Anolis sagrei: one gene and its partners. The protein of the gene in region 3 interacts with the protein of the main gene of each other region in a biochemical or structural test. Links are inferred from orthologs where the notes say so. Each region holds a gene or a part of one and is shown on either strand. Other genes may lie near its edges.

Region 1 (6,936 bases), about 91 Mb from region 3:
TTAAGTCTAGCCTAAGTAGAATAATAAGTAGCTAAAAGTCCAGTTCTGACTTAAAGACAGAGATCTCTTACTTTTTTACAAAAAAAAATTAACAAGGCAAGATTCTGCTGTGATCTCTTCCTTGATGCTTCTGGAAGAAGCAATGAACTGTTTTTTGACAGAAAAAGACACAAAAGGATTAATTCGAGGCATATGGAAGAAGTTGGGGACTGCAAAAATAGCCATAGAGATAATACACAACCACAGAGCTGCACTCTGCATGTTCTTTAAAAAAGAACCATAATCCTACAGTAAGTTACTCAATGTCCCTATTCCACTACTTAAGGAAGATGAAGCTTACCATCCATACCAAGACCTAAAACAAAGCTTTATAAACAAACATATGTGGATTTAATTTTTTAATTCATTTTAAGTTTGAGAGTTAAAAGTTTATTTTGCTGTTCACTCCACCCACAAAAGCTTTCCTAACATTACTCAATCCTGAGATTCTTTTTAAAAAAATTCCTCTCCTTGATCAATTCTGTTTTCTAAAGTGATGTTTCCAAATTTGACATGAACCAGAAGCCTTTATTAACTCTCTGTCAGAAAGGCAATGTGTACACAACAGAGGGAGGGAGCCATGAGGCTGAGGATTGGGAGAAAACCCATCCAGAGAGAGATATGAAGAAGGGCTGATTAGGAATGAAACATGCATTTTAAGCTTGTTTTGTATTATATTGTGTTTCTGTGAGTCTTTATTCGCTTAATTTTGCAATTGTACTGTATGGTTTTATGGTCTGTTATTCTTGTTGCAATAAGTTTGTGTATACACATATATTTTAGATCGTATGCCTCTGGCAGGATCCACTGTTTTTTCTTGGAATAATTGAATTGGAAGAAAGCCCAAAGGCCATCCAATCCAACCCCCTACCATGCAGGAATACACAATTAAAGCACTCCTGACAAGATGCCCATCCAGCCTCTATTCAAAAGCCTGTCCACCAAAAAGTTTTCCCTAATGGAATTACTTTTCCTGCCATTTGAATCTATGGCTCTGGAACAATAGAAAACAAGTTTCCCCCTTCTCACTATATCTTTCAAAACCAATAAACTTTCAGTTAAATGGTTGGTAGATGCCAGATAAAGTTGCTTGGGAATTACTATTAAAAACAGGCCTAACACTGTAAGCCAGGGCTGGGCAAACTTTGGCCCCTTAGGGGTTTTGGACTTCAACTCCCACAATCCAAATGCTTAAGCGGCTGAGGGGGGAAAGGAAGAGGCGTGAGGCTGTTAGGAATTGTGGGAGTTGAAGTCCAAAACCCCTGGAGGCCAAAGTTTGCCCAAGCCTGCTATAACCTATATTATACCGTAAACTCTTGTACTGACTTGATATTAATATTGAAATAAAGCAATTAAAAGTAATACATTTTACACTATTATAAAATAGCTCTTGTGAATGACATAAGCGATTTCAGTTAAGTTTTTGTGCTGGTTGCTTGAGATTTCCAATTAACTGAGAGTCTGCTTTACAAACCTCCCTTGCTGCACCAGGTCTACTGGCTGCCAATCTGCTACCGACCACAGTTCAAAGTGCTGGCTTCAGCTTATAAAGCCCTAAGGTACTGGCCCAGCTTACCTGTCCAAGCGTATATTTCTCTATGAAAGATTTTGGAGATTAAGATTATCTGGGAAGGCCCTGCTCTCAATCCCACCCCTTCATAGGCAGGACTGGTGGGGATGAGAGACAGGGCATTCTCAGTGGTGGCCCCTCGGTTGTGGAACACCCTCCCCATGAAAATTAGATCACCCCCTCCCTCTTGACCTTCAGGAAGAAAGTTAAGTCCTCGTTGTGGGACCAAGTGTTTTCACAATGATAGTGCAACAATTGATATCTTGGTGCAATAATAAGCTATTACAGGTGACAATTGGAATGGCTCCTGACTTATGTTCCCAGATTGTGCGATTTTAAATAATTGCTTCAATTGATGTGTTTTAATGATGCGATTTTAATGTATATGTTGTTTTATAATGATATGTGTAACACGGGTAAGGTTCTTAATTTATAGTATATGTTATTGTCTAGAAATTATGTTTTGGTTTTGCTACCATGTCTCCTCTCAACCTTCTTTTCTTCAAGCTAAATGTAAATTTGTTTGATTGCAAAGCACAATAAATAATAATAAAATGAAGACAATAGAGTGGACAAGGAAAACGAGTGAAGCCTGGATATATGTGCACGAAACGGGGGGAGAGGGAGATTGAAAAGGAGGGATGAAAATATGCCTCAGCAATGGGAAATATGGTGTAAAGGAGCATCATTCCAAGAATATATTTTCCAAGTTAATATTATAATGTAATACAATATATTACTAATAATATTATGATATTATAATAATATATTTTATATTAAATGTAATATTACTAATAATATTAGAGTATAATGTTATAGTACAATGTAATATATAATATTAATATTGTGCTATAGTAATAATATAATATATTGTATTTTTACTTGTAAGATGCTCTGAGTCCCCTTCGGGGTGAGACGGGTGGCATATAAATGTATGTGTATATGTGTGTATATATATATATATATATACACACACACACACACACACACACACACAAGCCATCCCCTACCACGTGTTTCTGTGGCCTAGTCTGTGTATATATTTGTGTATTTGTGTTTATATGTATGCATGTATATTGTGTATGTGTGCTTGTCTATATGAATATTTGGGTATATATGTGTGTGTATATTTGTGTGTGTTTGTGCATATATATATATACACAAATGTGTGCATGTAAATATGTATGAGTGTATGTGTATATGGTGGGTTTTTTTGGGGGGGGTTTAAGTCTGCTCCGCTGGGGTTGTGTGTGTGTGTATTTTTAGGGGTGATGGACACTCGTTGGACTGTTCGGTGTATTGTGTCCAAATTGGGTGTCAATTCGTCCAGTGGTTTTTGAGTTCTGTTAATCCCACAAACGAACATTACATTTTTATTTATATACATATTCCAAGAAATACACACACACACAACCAGGAAGGGGTCGCAGTGATGAGAAGACACCTCCGAGGAGGCGACGGGGAAGGCAAGCCCTCAGGGCCCAAAACCCCGCTCGCCGGGCCCGGATGGGGAGGGACGGCCGCGGAGGGCGCCAGGAAAGGGGAAGGCCTGCTCGAGAGGCCCGGAGCAGCCCAGCGGCCTTCCTCAGTGGCGAGCCCGAGGCTGAGCAGCGGCCTCCAGGCCTGCGAGGGGGCGGCGCTGGGAAACGGGGGAGGAGCCGCCGCTCGGCCGCGGATGTAGCGGCCGCGGATCCCCGCTATGCCCGGCGGAAGGAAGGAAAGGAGGGAGGGAGAAAGAAAGGAGGCCGGGCCGGCTACCTGGTCGACGCTGGTGGCTGACATTCTTCAAGGGGCGCGCAATCCCCCTCACCCCCTCCGCTCCGCTCGGGCCTGCTCGTGGGTCCCGCTTCCCTCCAAGCGCCGCTTCCTCCGCCACTCTCTCCTCCTCCTCCGCCGCCTGATTGTCTCCGCAGCTCGGCCCCCTCCTCCTTCTCCTCGGAAAGCAACCCGCTGGACGCTGCGAGCGCGGCGGCGGCGTCGGCTTCCCTCCCTTCTCCTCTCGGGGCTTCGCTTTCCCACAATGGCGGACGCGCTCCGGCTCCTACTTCCGCTCCGCAGCGCCCTGACCTTCCGCTCTCTCCCCCCTCTTCCTCCTCCTCCTCCCTCCCTCGCTGCTGCTGCTGACGACGACGTCGCAGGCGACCTTTCCGTCTCCGCCTCATGTCACGTGGGGAAGGGGAAGGAAGAGGAGAAGGAGGGAGGAGGAGAAGAACCAGAAAGGGGCGCATGCGCACGCCTCCTTGGCCTCCAAGAGCTTCCAAGAGCCCGTATGGTGTGTGTCTAGGAGGGTGAGGCGCTCGCGCGCGTCGACGCAGGCGCAGTGCTGCCTCCGACCGGTGGGGGTGGAGGCGGAAGTGACGTCAGCATTCTTTCCCTCAGCCGCACAGAGTCGGGCGAGAATCCTGAGGGAACGGAAAAGGCGTGAGAGTGCTTCGAAAAGGAAGGCGTTCGAGGCCGTTTTCCCAACCGTCTCAACCGCTCGGCTCGGAGTGAGCAAGGCGGCGCTTTCTCGGGACGCCGTAGTCGACGGCTGAGGAGAAAGAGAGCCCCTTGGCTTGCTTCCTTCCTTCCCTCCGTTGAACCATCGGCACTCGCGACAGGGAGGCCTCGGCGCCAGGCTCCTCGCCGCTTCTTCCCCGGGAGATTCCTCTCCCATTTCGGTGAGATTGTCTCCAAAGGCTTAACAATATGAGGGAGGGGTGTGAGGGGAAGGAAGGAAGGAAGGCAGGGCCTGTCTTCCAAGCAGGGAAATGGCGGCCGAGGGAGTGGGAGCCTGGCATGAGGAAGCCTTTAAGAAGGTCCTGGCCCGGGTAGAAAAAAAGCTGAAGACTTAGAACTGAGTCGGCAAAAGACGGGGGGAATTATCAGAGTTTTAAGAGGCATTTGTTTGGTTTTTTCCTTTTGTTGTTTCAAGCCTTCCGCGTTCAGGGTATTCGGCTTTTAGTGCTGAGTCATGGCATAGCTCGAACAAATGGAACAAAGTCCACCAAAGAGAGATGTACCTATCTGGGCCAACGCAAAATGCGGAGAAACGCTTCATGTCAGATTTCGAAGCTCCACTGGCTTCTGCGCCCTCTGAAGAATCATACATAGAAGTGAAGGAAAATGAGGGCATTAGAGACCTTTGAAGAATCATGCATACAAGAGAAGAAAAATGAGGGCATTGGAGACGCAGGCCTACGTTTTGCACCCAGTGTTGTTTTTGTGGGTCAGTTGTTCAGGGCGGTTTTCAATCCAGACATAAGCCACTCCCCCATTTTGGCCTTCTGAGTGCCAAGACAAAAAAAAACCCAGTCAAATGTACTGTATATACTCGAGTATAAGCCGAGGCACCTAATTTTATCACAAAAACTGGGAAGATGTATTGACTCGAGTATAAGCCGAGGGTGGGAAATGCATCCACTATGGGTCAATTTCAAAATAAAAATAGATACCAATAAAATTACATTAATTGAGGCATCAATAGGCTAAATGTTTTTGAATGTTTACATAAAACTGTAATTTAAGATAAGACTGCCCAACTCTTATTAAACCATTATGTTAACCTATAAGTAAATGTACTTATTATTAAAATAATAAATATAATAAAAAATAATACAGTGAAATAATGAAAATGTAATAAAAACAGTCATAGTAGAGTAAAATAATAAATGTAGCAATAACGGGGAAATGCTGTAAATATAATAATAATAATAATAAATAGATTAAAATAATAAATGTAATAATAGGGTAAAATACTGTAAATGTAATAATAATAATAATAGAGCAAAATAATGTAAATAGAATAATAGAGTAAAATAATAAATGTAATAAAATATTACTAATAACAGAGTAAAAGAATAACCTTGACTCAAGTATAAGCCGAGGGGAGCTTTTTCAGCCTAAAAAGAGTCTGAAAAACTAGGTTTATACTCGAGTATATACCGTAAATCGCTGCAGCAGCAGAGTCACTCCTATTGGAATCCAGGATGACTCAGCCTTTTGTGAAGCCACAGGCCCCTTTCTTAGGAATTTATTTATAGTATTGGAAGCAAACCGAGGGTACATTTGTAATGTATTTTTTAAAAACTTGGCATTATACTAAAATGTCCTTTGACCAGTAGCTGGCCACTTGGAGTGCTTCGGGTGTTGCTATAAGAAGGTCCTCCACTGTACATGTGACAGGACTCAGACTGCATTGTAAGAGGTGGTCTATGGTTTGCTCTTCTCCACACTCACATGTCGTAGATTCCACTGTGCAGCCCCATTTCATAAGGTTGGCTCTGCATCTCATGGTGCCAGGTGCAGTCTGTTCAGCCCAGTTTTCTGTGTGCCCAGGGAGGAGTCTCATTCAGTATCAGCCATGTCTTGGGGTTCCAGGTTTTAGCCTGCCAGTTTTGGACTCTCACTTGTGAGTATCTCTGTAAATCTTAGAAAACCCATTCTTGATTTAAGGCGTTGGCGTGCTGGCTGATATCCAAACACCAGAAGTTTTTTAAAGTAGGAGACACTGAATTTCTCCAGAGGTCTCTGTGCTGCTACAGTACAGGAGTTGGGTGCTGTGTAGGTGCTCTCTCCACCAGTGCCTATTCTACATGGACATTTGATGCAGGCTCATCCTGCCTTTGCTGTATAATTACCCAGGCCATTCAGGGCAATTTTACATCACCCTGCTACTCTCAGATACCAACCAGTTATAACCTATATTACTGCCAGGTTTTGTGCAGCAGCAATTCAAATCCGCCGGGCAATGACTGGTTCCAAAAGTTAACAATCTTAACTGTCAGCTAACTGAAATGTAAATCGGTTCTTCCCACTCCAGTACCCTAGACTTGTGCCCTAAATGCTCCTACCCTTCCACCAATCTCCCTCCTTCTCCATCCCCTTCTAGTCCCTTCCCGTAATAGTTTTTGTGCTTTAGCCTTCAACATACCTCTGTTTTTTAGCCTTTTAGATTTTAATGTACAATAATTTTATGAGACTGTACCTCACTCTCCTTATGCTGTTCTATGATTGTAATAAAGATTTATGATTAGGTAAAACTCAGACAATTACTTCACTGTATGGCCAGCACAGGTATCCCTGAATATGTTTGAAGTTGAAATGATTAATCCAACAGGTGATGACTGCTTGGTATGATTTCTTCAAGAGCCTCCTCTGTGTGTCTGTGTGTGTGTCAGGTGCAACTTGAGAAACTGCAAATCGCTTCTGCTGCAAGAGAATAGGATATCTGCAAGGACATTGTCCAGGGGACGTCATATGTTTTACCGTCCTGTGGGAGGACTCATATGTCCCCACATGAGAAGCTGGAGCTGACAAACGGGAGCTTACCTGCTCCCTGGATTTGA
Region 2 (7,462 bases), on a different chromosome or scaffold from region 3:
GGTTTTTGTGGCACTTGAAGAAGTCCCTCGACATTTTGCACCATGCTTTTGAATCCTGACTGCAAAACTGATAGAGCAGCAACAAGCAATGCCGCCACAGCAAAGTGAGAAAGGAGCTCACACCCAAGTTTAAGGCTGACTCATTCTTACAGAAGGTTTCCAGGAGCAAGAATCAGATTTGTGGAGGCACAATAGATGTCTCATTTTAAAGCAGAAATGAGGGAGGATGTTGCAGCCACACTGTTGATTTATCACCATGCAAATGAAGGAAAATTCAGTGGCCGCAGGGAGCCATGGTGGTGTAATAGATTCCAGTGGTTCTCAACCTGTGAGTCCCCAGGTGTTTTGGCCTACAACCCCTAGAAATCCCAGCCACTTTACTGGGATTACTGGGAGTTGAATGCCAAAACATCTGGGGACCCACAGGTTGAGAACCACTGGGTTAAACCCTTGTGCACGAGCCCCTGTTGGCGCAATGGGTTAAACCCTTGTGACAGCAGGACTGAAGACCAGCAGGTTGGAGGTCCGAATATGGGGAGAGTGCAGATGAGCTCCCTCTGTCAGCTCCAGCTCCCCATGTGGGAACATGAGAGACGCCTCTCACAAGGAGAGTAAAACATCAAAACATCCAGGCATCCCCTGGGCAATGTCCTTGCAGACTACCAATTTTCTCATACCAGAAGCATCTTGCAGTTTCTCAAGTCGCTCCTGTCACAAAAAAAAACCTTGTGCGGGCTAAATTGCTAACGTGAAGGTTGGCAGTTTGAATCCATGAGACAGGGTGAGCTCCTGTCTGTCAGCCCCAGCGGGGACGTGACAGAAGCATCCCACAGGATGGTAACACGCCCGGGAGTCCCCTGCGCAACATCCTTTCAGAAGGCCAATTCTCTCACACTAGAAGTGACTTACAGTATTTTCAATTTGCCTCTGACACTGATAAGAAAAAAAATGTGGTCACCGCGAAGTTCACCTCTTCCGACCTGAAGTCTGGAACTGCATTTGGTTTTCTGTGGTGCCGTATGATGTCTCCTGTCATTATTTGCAATACAATCCTTCCTTCCTGCAACAGTTGTCGTTATTGGCAGTAATATCCCTCTGGCAACACTTCGTACTACTTGGCGTGGATACCAAGATCCACTGGGGAGATCCTCCTCTCAATCTCAACACTATCTCAAGCCTGGTTGGTGGGGACGAGGGAGAGGGCCTTCTCGGTGGTGTCTCTGCCTCTGGAATGCCCTCCCCAAGGAGATAAGGCTGGCCCCATCCCTCACCTTTTTCCGTAAAAACTTGAAGACTGGGTGGTTTCATCAGGCTTTCGATAATGACTAGTCTCAAGCCCTTGGTCCAATAGTTAGGACTTGGCCTTGTGCCCCATCCATTCCCTAGTTCCCTGTCATCTGAGGGCACCTTTTCTTCCGGCCTAGACCTTTTTCATAGTCCTTTAATTTGCCCTGGAATTGAGTGGCCCAGTCCCCTAGTAGGACCATTACTGGGAGTAATCCTTGCACTGTAGTATTCAGCCAGCCTCATTTTTCCCTTCTCCTTGCACTAGCCTTGACCCAACCCGTTCCAAATAGTCCAGGCCCCTTATTGAAATCTTTGCTCCTGGCAGCTTACCTTGCATGAAGAAGAGAGCGGACTTGGTTTTAAATTGATTTTGATATATATGTCATGTTAAGCCCATGTCATGATAGGCCCAAGCTACCTATCTGACCGCATCTCTGCCTATGAACCCACCAGGACTTTGAGATCTTCCGGGGAGACCCTGCTCTCGATCCCGCCTGCTTCTCAAGCTCAGCTGGCGGGGACGAGAGAGAGGGCCTTCTCGGTGGTGGCTCCTCGGCTGTGGAACGCCCTTCCTGCGGACATTAGACTGGCACCATCTCTAATGGTATTCCGCAAAAAGGTGAAGACCTGGATGTTTGTGCAGGCGTTTGAGTAATTTAGTGCAATCTGGTAATGGAACATAGGAATGGAACAATGGGCGGCGGACCTGGACTACGCTTGGATGATGAGAAGATTGGGTACGGTTGTTTTTTGTAATAATTGTGCATTGTAATTGCTTATCGGTAATTTATGGATAATGTGTTAAGTCAATTGTTATATGTTGTATGGAACCACTGCTGTTTCTACTGTTTTTACTGTTTGTGAACCGCTGTGAGTCGCCTTCAGGCTTGAGATACAGCGGTATACAAGCAAAGTAAATAAATAAATAAATAAATAAATGTTAACTGTTTATGTTTTATATTGTATGTTTTTGTATTATTTTGCGTATGTGGAAACCGCTCTGAGTCCCCGAGGGAAGTATATAAATAAAGTTTATTTTATTTTATTATTATTGGAAGCAAGTCCCATTGACGTTGCGTATGCTCTGGCACAGGCATGGGCAAACTTTGGCCCTCCAGATGTTTGGGGCTTCAGCTCCTACCATTCCTAACAGCCTCAGGCCCTTTCCTAAAGGAAAGGGCCTGAGGCTGTTAGGAATGGTAGAAGCTGAAGCCCCAAACATCTGGAGGGCCAAAGTTTGCCCATGTCAATCCTGTACAATCAAATGCCTCTGACTGAGGACCAAAACACCTGGAGGGCCGATTGGTGCCCATACTTGAAGTAAAATGAGGTCTAAGAAAGATTGTGGCGCCTTCGGTGGGTTTCCTGATTCCCCCATTCTCCTCCAAACAAGGATCCCTTCAGGCAGTCAGGAAGCACCCAGGCCTTGAAGCTGCAAGGCCATTAAATTATAATCAGGGTAGCCAATTGCAGCAGTCACACTTGCCTCCCAAAATGCCCAGAGCTGCTCTCCTCACAGGATAAACAACCGCCACAGAAAGAACGAACACGAACCAGAGGCCTCTCCGCGCACTGCGGGTTGGGAAGGCCTACCGTTATGGCCTGTGGGGTCCCAATATCGCCCCGACTCACTCACTCACCCGCCACGAAGCCCTATTGTTCCGCTGCCTTGCTTCTCCTCCTCCGACTGGGCCCTCTCAGCACTGTGCAGCCCGCCTCCGACGCGCCTCGCCTCCTCATTGGCCAGCCGTCGCGGTGACGTCACGCCTTCGACTCTAAAACTTCCGCGACAGGGCCGACTCGACCCGACGGAACCTTGGGATTTGTAGTTTGGAGGTCTTGGCCTCGTCAAACTAACAGTTCCAGGATCCCGCCGCATTGAGCCCTGGCGGTCGAAGTGGCGTCAAACCGCATTGGTTATATCTACAACGTGCTTACAGTTGTTAAAGTGCATTGATTTTACAGTATACGTGCACCCTTTGCAGATGCTGTGGACTACGATTCCCACAATCCTTTTCTGCCCCGATGAGGCTGATAGGAAAGGGATGGACCGTTGGAAGCTGAGCATTCTTTACCTAAGCTTCGAGGCATTATTATATTATTTAACCTGAGACATGATTCATTCATGAACGGAGACGTGTGTGCTGAAACGTATGGAAACACATAGGACTAGAGTAAGTAAAACTTTATGGGTTGCTGTGAGTTTTTCGGGCTGTATGTCCATGTTCCAGAAGTATTCTCTCCCAACAAATTCCCATTCTCCTCCCCAGGCAGTCAGGAAGCAGCCAGGCCTTGAAGCTGCAAGGCCATTACATGATACAGGTGGCCAATTGCAACAGTCACGCTTTTCTTTCTCCCACCCTGGACATTAGACCACAGGATTTGTAGCTGGGAGGCTCTTCAATGTTCCTCCCAACAAAGGATCCCCCAGGCAGTCAGGAAGCAGTCAGGCCTTGAAGCTGCAAGGCCATTACATGATAATCAAGGTGGCCAATTGCAACAGTCAAGCAGACAAGAATTCTTTCTCCCACCCTGGACATTAGACCACAGGATTTGTAGCTGGGAGGCTCTTCAATGTTCCTCCCAACAAAGGATCCCCCAGGCAGTCAGGAAGCAGTCAGGCCTTGAAGCTGCAAGGCCATTACATGATAATCAAGGTGGCCAATTGCAACAGTCAAGCAGACAAGAATTCTTTCTCCCACCCTGGACATTAGACCACAGGATTTGTAGCTGGGAGGCTCTTCAATGTTCCTCCCAACAAAGGATCCCCCCAGGCAGTCAGGAAGCAGCCAGGCCTTGAAGCTGCTAAGCCATTACATGATAATCAAGGTGGCCAATTGCAACATTCACACCAGCCTCAAGCAGACAAGAATTCTTTTTCCCACATTGGACATTATTCCACAAATATATAAATCTCCCTTGCTGAATTTCCAACAGACCTCACAACCTCTGAGGATGCCTGCCATAGATGTGGGCAAAATGTCAGGAGAGAATGCTTCTGGAATATGGTCATACAGCCATGTTCCAGAATCACAGCAATCCAGTGATTCCAGCCACGATAGCCTTTGATTACACTTTTGCCCACATCCTCAGAGGTTGTGAGGTCTACACTAGAATTAATTAACACCCATACTGGCTGTTAGAAATTGTGAGAGGGGAAGTCCAAAACACCTGGAGGGAAGGCCAAAGTTGGCCCGTGCCTGATCTAGATGCATCCTATATCACAATTCCTACCAAGAACTTTGCCCATATCATGAGAAGACAGGAATGCTTAGAGAAGACAATGATGCTGGGGGAAATGGAAGGAAAAAGGAAGAGGGGCTGACCAAGGGCAAGATAATAACAATGCGTGACTTAGGGCCTTTTACTCTAGCACTTAAGACCTGGCTTTTCACTAGAGCATTTGATCTATGTTAATTATTAATTTTTGTATGTATGTATTTTTATCTTTTACAATTTAGCTTGTAAATCGCCTAGAGCATCTCGGATGGAGGGCAATTAATAAGTAATTAAATATGATGATGATGATGATGATGATGATGATACACTTTATTTATAACCCACTATCATCTCCCCAAAGGGGACTTGGTGCAGCTAACATGAGGCTAAGCCCAAAATAATACAACATAATAAACACACAGTAACAAAATACATCATAACAAAATATAGAATAACAAAATCAACAATACAAAAGATGGATGGGATCCTTGAAGGACCTGGGGGTGGCGACGGCCGACAGGGAGCTCTAGCGTGGGCTGGTCCATGAGGTCACAAAGAGTCAGAAACGACTGAACGAATGAACAACAACACCGAGAACAATAGGAATTCTCCAGAAATGGGACAATAGGCAATCCAGACATCAGAAAACACAATTTCTTCATTCTTATTTTGTGCGTTTTTCCTTTCCAAATGGGCTGTTGACAGAAAACAACGGAAAAATTCCTGATTCATAGAATCATAGAATCAAAGAGTTGGAAGAGACCTCATGGGCCATCCAGTCCAACCCCCTGCCAAGAAGCAGGAATATTGCATTCAAATCACCCCTGACAGATGGCCACCCAGCCTGTTTAAAAGCTTCCAAAGAAGGAGCCTCCACCACACTCCGGGGCAAAGAGTTCCACTGCTGAAGGGCTCTCACAGTCAGGAAGTTCTTCCTCATGTTCAGATGGAATCTCCTCTCTTGTAGTTTGAAGCCATTGTTCTGCGTCCTAGTCTCCAGGGAAGCAGAAAACAAGCTTGCTCCCTCCTCCTTGTGGCTTCCTCTCACATATTTATACATGGCTATCATATCTCCTCTCAGCCTTCTCTTCTTCGGGCTAAATATGCTAAACACTATTCACCCAAATAGTGGGTACAGATGAATGTATTCACCTAAAGGCAACATGTGTAAGACCCCTTCCACACATTTGAATAAAATCCTACATTATTTGCTTTGAACTGGGATATATGGCAGTGTGGACTCAGAATATTGTGGGTTATTCTGTCTTGATATTCTGGGTTACAGGGCTGTGTGGAAGAACCCTAACAGGGGAGTTCCAGTTTTTCCCCATTTGCATCCCTTCCTATGGGAAATGTGGTTTCCCAACCCCTTTGAACGCTCAGAGTAGCCCTGAGGAAGAAAAGGGTGCGTGTCGCTTTAAGGCGCCCTCCCAAAATGGCTCCCCGGATCCATTCAGACGGCCATTTCACGCCCAGCGGCTCGGAAGCCAATCCCCAGGAAGGTTTGGCTTTTGAGCAAATCTTCAGGGAGCCTGAGACGGGTTCTGAGGAACATAAGGAGAGATAAAGAGAGGAGAGGGAGAAGGGAAAAGGCGGAAGTCCATCAAAATGTAAAGCTTCCGCGTTCTCCAGAGCAAGAGGCTCAAAGTAGCCTCCCAGAAAGGTAAACTTCCGGTTAGAGGTTGACGTTGGGCCTGAAGACAGAAATCCCACGTGGATCCACGTGGAAAAGGAGCTGCAAACTGGACACGGGTGCATCTGTACCAGGCAAGGGCAAACTTGGGCCCTCCAGGTGTTTTGGACTCCAACCCCCACCATTTCTAAACGCTTAAGCGGCTGAGGGGAAAAAGGAAAGGGCCTGAGGCGTTTAGGAATGGTGGGAGTTGGAGTCCAAAACACCTGGAGGGCCCAAGTTTGCCCTTGCCGGATCTACACTAGAATTAATGCTGTTTGACACAATTTTAACTGCACAGGATCAATGCTATAGTGTAGTTTTGCAAGGTCTTTGGCCTTCTCTGAGATCTCACTGGACTACAACTCCCAGGATTTCATAGAACTGATCCAGGGCAGTTAAAGTAGGCTCGAACGGCATTGATTATTGTTATTATTATTACTAAGCAGTGTCGAAAACGAATGCTGTCTGTTGGTGGGGGTATTGAAGGAGCCAGCCTTTGCCTGAACAAAATGTGACCATTTGGATGCTGGAGGTGATAAGGGCAAAGTGTGGCATTGCAGCATTTAATACCTATATGAACATATCTCTCCTTATGAACCACCTAGGACCTTAAGATCATTGGGGAGGCCCTGCTCTCGATCCCGCCTTCCTCACAGATACATTTGGCAGGGACGAGAGACAGGGCCTTCTCAGTGGTGGCCCCTCGGCTATGGATCGCCCTTCCCAGGGATATAAGATCAGCTCCCTCCCTTCTAACATTCTGTAAAAAGGTTAAGACTTGGCTCTTCAAGTAAGCTTTTACTACTGGAGCATAATTAGACAAAAACGAATATATGGATTGACATTTATGCAATATATGCAATTGGACATGATTTTATATGTAATATATAATGTAATATAATATAATGTATATTAAATAATATATATAATAATATATGATATAATATAAATATATATAATCATATGGTGCAGTGGGTTAAACCCCTGTGCCGGCAGGACTGAAGACCGACAGGTAACAGGTTCGAATCCGGGGAGAGGCGGATGAGCTCCCTCTATCAGCTCCAGCTCCTCATGCGGGGACATGAGAGAAGCCTCTCACAAGGATGTTAAAAACATCAAAATCATCCAGGCATCCCCTGAGCAACAGCGGTTAGGAATGGTGGGAGTTGGAGTCCAAAACACCTGGAGGGCCGAAGTTTGCCCTTGCTGGGTCTACACTAGAATTAATGCTGCTGTATTGTTTTTATATCACATTTTAAATGTTTTAATTGTTTTTATAAT
Region 3 (7,989 bases):
ACAAACTCCACATTGGGTCTGTTTGCCAAGAAGAAAGATATGTAAGGCTTGCTTTCCAACTGCAGTAGCCTGGATGTTGTTCCCTTGAGAGAACTGCAAGATGCTTAAAGCATAAATCCAAAGGTGTCATTAAAGATGTGCCGGAGACACACCCGAGGCAGGAAGTAGCAGGGGAGATGACTGAGGGCAGAGGTGGCAGAGGAAGCACCAGGCGGGCACACAAAGGAGGCAGAGGCATGCCTGACACCTTTCCCTCCTGGGCTGCAGGTGTGTTCCTTTTGTTTTATGTAAGACCCCCCCCCACACACACACACACACACACACCGCTAAATAAAATCCCACATTTTCTGCTTTTAACTGGCTTATCTGAGTCCACACTCAGGCCCTATATAATAATGTGGGATGTCCTGCCTTGATATTCTGGGATAGAGGGCTGCGTGGAAGGGCCCAGGGATATATGGCAGTGTGGACTAAGATAACCCAGTTCAAAGCAGATATTGTGGGCTTTACTGCCTTGATATTCTGGATTATATGGCTGTGTGGAAGGGTCCTAAATTCATGGAAGGATTACCTCCACTAAATTCTAGAGGAAAAGATTGTGGGCCCTTCCACACAGCCATATAACCTAGACCAGTGGTTCTCAACCTGGGGTCCCCAGATGTTTTTGGCCTACAACTCCCAGAAATCCCAGCCTGTTTACCAGCTGTTAGGATTTCTGGGAGTTGAAGTCCAAAAACATCTGGGGACCCCAGTTTGAGAACCACTGACATATACTATCAAGGCAGATAACCCACAAAATCTGCTTTGAACTGGGTTATCTGAAGCCCCTTCCACACAGCTGTATAAAATCCACATTGAACTGGATTATCTGGAAGTATGGACCCAGGGCCCTCGCAGATAGTTCAAAGCAGATATTGTGGGCTTCCCAAGATCTGATCCCAGATTTTCTGCTTTCAATTGAATTCTTTGAGGGCCCTTCCACACAGCCCTATATCCCAGAATCTCAAGGCAGAAAATCCCACAATATCTGCTTTGAACTGAGTCATCTGAGTCCACACTGCCACATATCCCACTTCAAAGCAGAAAACATGGGATTTTCTGCCTTGATATTCTGGGATATAGGGCTGTGTGAAAGGGCCCTGAGTCCGCATTGCCAGATAATCTGAGGTAAACAGAAAACCTGGGATCAGATTCTGGGATATAGGAACTGTCTGGAAGGGCCCTCAGATAACCCAGGGCCCTTCCACACTGCCATATAAACCAGAGTATCAAGACAGAAAAACCAACAATATCTGCTTTGAACTGGGTTATCTGAGTCCACGCTGCCATATATTCCAATTCAAAGCAGATATTGTGGGATTTTCTGCCTTGATGTTCTGGTTAATATGGGTGTGTGGAAGGGCCACCAGTTCAAAGCAGATATTGTGGATTATCTGCCTTGATATTCTGAGTTATATGACTGTGTGGAAGGGCCCTGAGTCCACACTGCCATATAATCCAGTTCAATGTAGATTTTATACAGCTGTGTGGAAAGGGCCTTAGGCCCTCTCTACACCGCCACATAATCTAGGGCTCTTCCAGAGTCATATAACCCAGAATATCAAGGCAGAAAATCCCAAAACATCTGCTTTGAACTGGATTATTTGAGTCCACACTGCCATATAATCTAGTTCAGTGGTTCTCAACCTGTGGGTCCCCAGGTGTTTTGGCTTCCAACTCCCAGAAATCCCAGCCAGTTTACTAGCTGTTAGGATTTCTGGGAGTTGAAGTCCAAAACATCTGGGGACCCACAGGTTGAGAACCACTCATCTAGTTCAATGTGGATTTTATACAACTGTGTGGAAAAGGCCTCTACACTGCCATATAATCCAGATGAACAAAACACAGAATCCACATCATCTATATAGGAGTCCACAGTGCCATATATCCTAGTTCAAAGCAGATATTGTGGAATTTCCTGCCTTGATATTCTGGATTATATGGCTGTGTGGAATGGTCCTGAGTCCACACTGCAATATAATCCAGTTCAATGTGGATTTTATACAACTGTGTGGAAGAGGCCTTAGCCACATAATCCAGATGAACAAAGCACAGAATTCACATCATCTATATATGAGTCCACACTGCCATATTGTTCAAAGTAGATATTGTGGAATTTCCTGCCTTGATATTCTGGATTATATGGCTGTGTGGAAGGGTCCTGAGTCCACACTGCCATCTAGTTCAATTTGAATTTTATACAACTGCCCCCTTCTAGACTGACACATAATCCAGATGAACAAAGCACAGAATCCACATTATCTACATATGAGTCCACAGTGCCATGTAGACGGGGCCTGGATGGCGGGAGACGGGGCCGCACACCTGCCTCTCTTCCGGGCAAGGCGCCCTCCCTTTGCTTGAAGCGATGCCCAGCGCCAGGCTCAAGGCGTGCCCTTCATCCCTGGCCTCCCGGGCGGGGAGAGGGGCAGGAAAGAGAAACCAAAAGCACGGGCCTCCTTCTGGGAAAGGCGAGGGCCGCCTTGGAACAATAGGCCTCGGGAAGGGCCCCCGCAGGAGGCGCCTTGCGGCCTAGGCCGGAGAGGCGCCGCCTGCCGAGGGTTTGGGGCCCAAGCGCGGGGCCTCGCTTCGGGGCGGGGAGGCCCAGCTGACACGGCGCGAAAGGCCACCAAGGAGGCCTCCTCCCTCCTCCTCCTCCACAGCTAAGACCCCCACGAGAGGGAGGGAGGGAGGGAAGGGCCGGGCATCCCCTGGAGCGGCGCCTCCCTCCCTCTTTCCCAGCCTGCCTTCCTTACCTTGTGGATTCTCTTCAGCGCCATCGCGGCGGCGGCGGCGGCGGAGCCTGTGGAGGGCGGCGCGCGAGGAGGCAGGAAGGAGGCGAAGAGGAAGGAGCGGGACTACTTTTCCGGCGGCGGAGGGAGCGCGGGGGCTGCTCGGCGGAAGAGGCAGGCTGGAAGGGAGGGAGGGGGCGCGCGCGGGCCTCCTGGGCGCTCCCCTTTCAAGTCCCTCGTCGGCGCCCCCGCCCCGCCCCTGCACGCCGCTCCGTCGTCCCCTTCCGCCGCCCCCTCCTCCTCCTCCTGCTTCTCTCCCTCCTTACTATTTCCCCCGGCTCTCCCTTCACTGACGTTCTCGGCGCTGCGGCTCCTCCAGCCGCATCACCCTTCAGCGAAGTTCTTTTATGACGCGACGGCGGCGCGAGGTTAATGAGATTCCTCCGCCATCGGCGTTGGCGCATGCGCCTCGCGGCCGTCGCGGCAGGCTCGCGGACTGAGTGGGGAAGCGCTGCGTGACCTTACGCGGACGCTTAGGAAGGCGCTGAACGAGCAAGTGTGGCCCGCGGCAGGGAACCCCTCGGAAAAGGACAGAGCACGAAGGCGTCCCCTTCATCGGTGAGGGCCGCGCAAGGCGAGGGTTCGCTCTCTTCTCGCGAGAAGAGACATGGCGGATGAAGGCCCAACAACTGTCAGACTCGAAGAGGGAGGAACAGGACAGGAAAAACTTTTCACTTGGGAACAAAGGGGTTTAATGGAAACCAGGGCCCTTCTACACAGCCCTTTATCCCAGAATATCAAGGTGGAAATCCCACACTATCTGAGATATTGTGGGATTTTTTGCCTTGATATTCTGGGATATAGGGCTGTGTGAAAGAGCCATGAGTCCATACTGCCATATATCCCAGTTCAAAGCAGATATTGTGGGATTTTTTGCGTTGGTATTTTGGGATATAGGGCTGTGTGAAGGGCCCCGAGTCCACACTGCCATATATCCCAGTTCAAAGCAGATATTGTGTAATTTTTGCCTTGATATTCTGGGTTATAGGGCTGTGTGGAAGGACCCTGAATCCATACCGCCATATATCCCAGTTCAAAGCAGATGTTGTAGGATTTTCTGCCTTGCTAATCTGGGCTATAGGGCTGTGTGGAAGGGCCCTCAGATAACCCAGTTCAAAGCAGATATTGTGGGATGTTTTGCCTTGATATTCTGGGATATAGGGCTGTGTGGATGAGCCCTGAGTCCATATTGCCATATATCCCAGTCCAAAGCAGATATTGTGGGATTTTTGCCTTGATACTCTAGGATATTGGGCTGTGTGGATGAGCCCTGAGTCCATATTGCCATATATCCCAATCCAAAGCAGATATTGTGGGATTTTTGCCTTGATACTCTGGGATATTGGACTGTGTGGAAGGGCCCACATAATTTCAAGATAGGTAAGCCACAATATCTGCTTTGAACTGGGTTATCTGAGGGCCCTTCCGGACAGGCCCTATAACCCATATCTGATTCCATATTTTCCTGCTGTAACCTGGATTGTAGAAGTCCCCACTGCCAGATAAACTGGGATAAACAGAAAACCTGGGATCAGCTCCTGGGATATAGGGCCTTTCTGGAAGGGCCCTCAGATAACCCTGCCATATATTCAAAGCAGATAATATGGGATTTTATTTAGATGTGTGGAAGGAGCCTCAGTGGGTCTATAGTCAGGACGAGGTTTGCCATGAACCCCTTATTATTATAAAGGGCCCTTCCACAATGCCATATAATCCAGAATATCAAAGCAGACAATCCACAGTCACAGTATCTGCTTTGAACTGTGTGATCTGAGTCCACACTACCATATTATCCATTTCAATGTGGATTTTATACAACTGTGTGTTGTTCAGTTGCATCTGACTCTTCATGACCTTATGGACCAGCCCACGCCAGAGCTCCCTGTCAGCCGTCACCACTCCAGTTCCTTCAAGTTCAAGCCAGTCACTTCAAGGATACTATCCATCCATCTTGCCCTTGGTCAGCCCCTCTTCCATTTCCTTCCTTTCCTTCCATACAACTGTGGGGAAGGGGCCAAAGTCTGTCCTTTATTTGTGCACTAGAAAGCTTTTCTTTTTATGTAGAGGCTCAACAGCTCGGCTCAAAAACCCTTTTTTTTTTTTTTTTTTTTTTTGAGGATTTGAGTCTTCCTTAGAAGTGGACATGTGTATCATTTTATTTGCCAGTATATGTTAATGTGAAAAAATATAGAGAAATCCATAGCTACATTAGCTGAAATCAATACCTTTGTTTGGTAAAACCATTTTGAGACTTGCATTTTTGTTTTTTGATGACCCAGTAACTCTAGTCGTATTTAGAGCTATGTTCCTTTCTATGTAAAACAAATGAAATGGACTCGTGGATGCTATTGGGTTACACTGTGCATCACTTTTTTCTTTTGTAAAAATCAAATTTAAACTTTTTTTAAAAAAAGTATAATGATGTGGTATATCCACATGTCAGTTTCTATTTGGATACCTGAAACTTTTAATATATCCAACTTGATTTTTTCCCTCCAAAACATGCCATTCCAAATGTACTCTATATTCCTAAGGTATCAGGATGACTTACAATCTGTAAAAATGGGTAATAATTGTGCTTATTTACACTGACTGCTGCTGTGCATTCAGCAGCTTGTTTTGGACTTCTCTTAGTGGCTAAATAACACACACCACTGAAGAACACTACCACACACTTTAAGGGTTTTTAACATAAGTTGGGGAAAGTCCAAAACAAGCCCCTGAATGCATGACAGTCCCAAAGTAAATCACACAACATGGCAAAATCAGCTCCATAGCATACAAAGTTCATTGTGGACATCCGATGCACTGATGTGTATTGTAAAACTCAGAATGGGGCTGACTGATGAGAAAATGCCGAGGGCATGACTGGGGAACAGGTGGTCAGTTGACCCCTTGGGATAGATAATTGATTATCTCTACTGCTAGTTCTCACTTTCCCTTCTTTTTTCCACCTCTTGCGTCCACAATGTAAATGTGCAAGCCATGGATACTGTGGATTTTGGAACCAGTTCCAGATCACTTTTGTGGTTAATGTAATCACCATCCTGGTCTGAAATCTGTTCCAGAAATAGCAATCTTACCATCCATACAGAAAAACCAGTTTCTGCTGAACTGGTTTAAAACATACTTAAGTGGTCAGTGTATTTGATATCTCAGTCAGTAGGTAGATAACACAGAGGGGTTGCAATGTATATTTATTTATGTTTTAATATTTTGGTGGATTCTATATGGTGCCAGGATTGTAGATGTTTTGTTGCTTCTATAGCAATCCATGCAGGAGATAATACTGTCCCTGCTGTCATCCCAGACAGGTCAAACAGGCAGGCTTTCTAGTTACCTGGTCAACATATATTCTTCCATGGCACCTTAAATGCTAACAAATTTATTCTGGTGCAGACTTTTATAGATTGCAGCTCACTTTAATAGATATAATGAAACTAGCTCAGATGACACACAAGCACAAAAAACAGCCAAATGAGGTACAAAAATAGCATAAATTACATATGCTATTGGTGGTCTGGTTTTGTGTTAAATATTAAGAAATCTTCAAATTGTGTAATAATTATATTGGTTCGGTTTATGTTTGAATGCCATTGAAATGCTTATTCTCTTTAAAATAAATTCAGCTCTACTTTTAATTTTACATCACAGGCACGCGAAGTTAACAAGTCCCTGAAAAATAACTCTTTTATGCAGTCTTCCTTCTAATTTGAGGGGCAGGAGATGTAGTATAGACTTCGATAAAGGAGGATTGGAAAACAAAACCTTGTCAGTGTTGGGTAAAAAATATTGAAGCTTGACCTAGGAAAGAATGTGTTCCACTCTAGGTGATCCTCCCGCAGTTATGTGCACTTACTCCTCCAGAATCACTGAGTGTGTATGAGGAGCAAAACAGAAGCCCCACCCACACTGTCATATAAGGCAATTCCAGAATGCAGTTTAACTGCATTGAACTGGATTATATGAGTCTGCATCGCCGTATAATGCAGTTCAATGTAGTTAAACTGCATTCTGACAACGCATTATATGGCAGTGTAGGTAGGACTAGAGAAGCAGATTGGCCTACCTCACCAACTACCCAAGCATATTTTTAAAAGTGTGGATTTCTCAAAAGTTCACTACCAAAATGGAAACCAAAAGCAAAGTGTAAGCTATGAAACAAAAAATTATCCTGGAATGCATTTTGGAAGAAACTTTCAAGGCGCATAATGTTTATGCTTACATATTCTAGCTTTACCTGACCTGGTTGTTTCGTTTCATATGTGCATGTCAATTTTGAATTAAAACATTCCTGAAACATGCTGAACTGTTGCTCTTTGTGTGTGTTATACAAACCTATCCCTAACAGATTCTATGTTTCAACCTCTGATACCAAGGTTTTTGTGAAAGTAGAGCCCAGCAACACATTTACTTTGTTAAATATACCTGTATGTAGAATTATCTGTAGGAGCTACTGACAATAATAGCTACATTACATTGCAGTTGTAATATTCCAATTATTATTTGTTTAAATGTTAAGTTGCACAACACCTATATAACATTTCTTCATTTTTAGCAAAAATTACCGACATTTTGAAGCACGTTTCAGCATCATAACATGTAATACTTCAAGTTGTTTCTAACTTAAGTTTACCCAAAGTCATCTTAACATGGGCTTTCTTGCCAAGATTTGTTCAGAGGGTGGTTTGCCTTTGCTTTCCTCTATTTGGCCAAGATTACCAAGTGGGCTTCCATAGCTTAATTGGAATTTGAATCCTCATGTAAGAGCCATAGTCACTCAGATCAACACACCACACTGGCTCTGTCTTACTAATTTATATTGTTGCTTATTTAAGATATTTATCAATCAAAACTCATGTACAAAATGTGATCAATTATAAAATATAGACTTACAAACAGGTGGGAATTGTGCAGCTCTCCAGATGTTGCTGGACTGTATCTCCAGGCATTCTGCTATTGGCTAAGCTGGGTAGGAGTGCAGAATGTTGTAATCAACAACAAACAGGATTGCACAATTCCCACCTTATAACTTAAAATATATGGTTAGTTACTTACTTACTTAGGCGATCCCTCATAGTCCAAGGATGATGGTCCTCCAAGTTCAGTGTCCTGGTGGTGGGTCCGTAGGTGACTCTGGAGCCCTATTCTTGATCTG

Evidence for each region.
Region 1: the proteins of UBE2D2 (region 3) and RNF4 form a complex in vitro, tested with the Homo sapiens proteins (8 studies listed by BioGRID, with this or other methods). The link is inferred for Anolis sagrei from reciprocal best matches to the Homo sapiens genes UBE2D2 and RNF4.
Region 2: the proteins of UBE2D2 (region 3) and TTC3 form a complex in vitro, tested with the Homo sapiens proteins (2 studies listed by BioGRID). The link is inferred for Anolis sagrei from reciprocal best matches to the Homo sapiens genes UBE2D2 and TTC3.

Annotation. Positions count from the first base shown.
Region 1 is NC_090024.1:46,921,767-46,928,702, forward strand, and holds the start of RNF4 (E3 ubiquitin-protein ligase RNF4), read left to right. Parts: upstream 1-3,930; 5' UTR 3,931-4,269; intron 4,270-6,936. Other genes in the region: YTHDF3 (YTH domain-containing family protein 3), read right to left, coding at 3,368-3,391. UniProt on the Homo sapiens protein: E3 ubiquitin-protein ligase which binds polysumoylated chains covalently attached to proteins and mediates 'Lys-6'-, 'Lys-11'-, 'Lys-48'- and 'Lys-63'-linked polyubiquitination of those substrates and their subsequent targeting to the proteasome for degradation.
Region 2 is NC_090023.1:71,816,502-71,823,963, reverse strand, and holds the start of TTC3 (E3 ubiquitin-protein ligase TTC3), read right to left. Parts: upstream 3,007-7,462; 5' UTR 2,928-3,006; intron 2,910-2,927; exon of another isoform or gene 2,774-2,909; intron 1-2,773. UniProt on the Homo sapiens protein: E3 ubiquitin-protein ligase which catalyzes the formation of 'Lys-48'-polyubiquitin chains. Mediates the ubiquitination and subsequent degradation of phosphorylated Akt (AKT1, AKT2 and AKT3) in the nucleus.
Region 3 is NC_090024.1:137,845,880-137,853,868, forward strand, and holds the start of UBE2D2 (ubiquitin-conjugating enzyme E2 D2), read right to left. Parts: upstream 3,018-7,989; 5' UTR 2,820-3,017; coding exon 2,796-2,819; intron 1-2,795.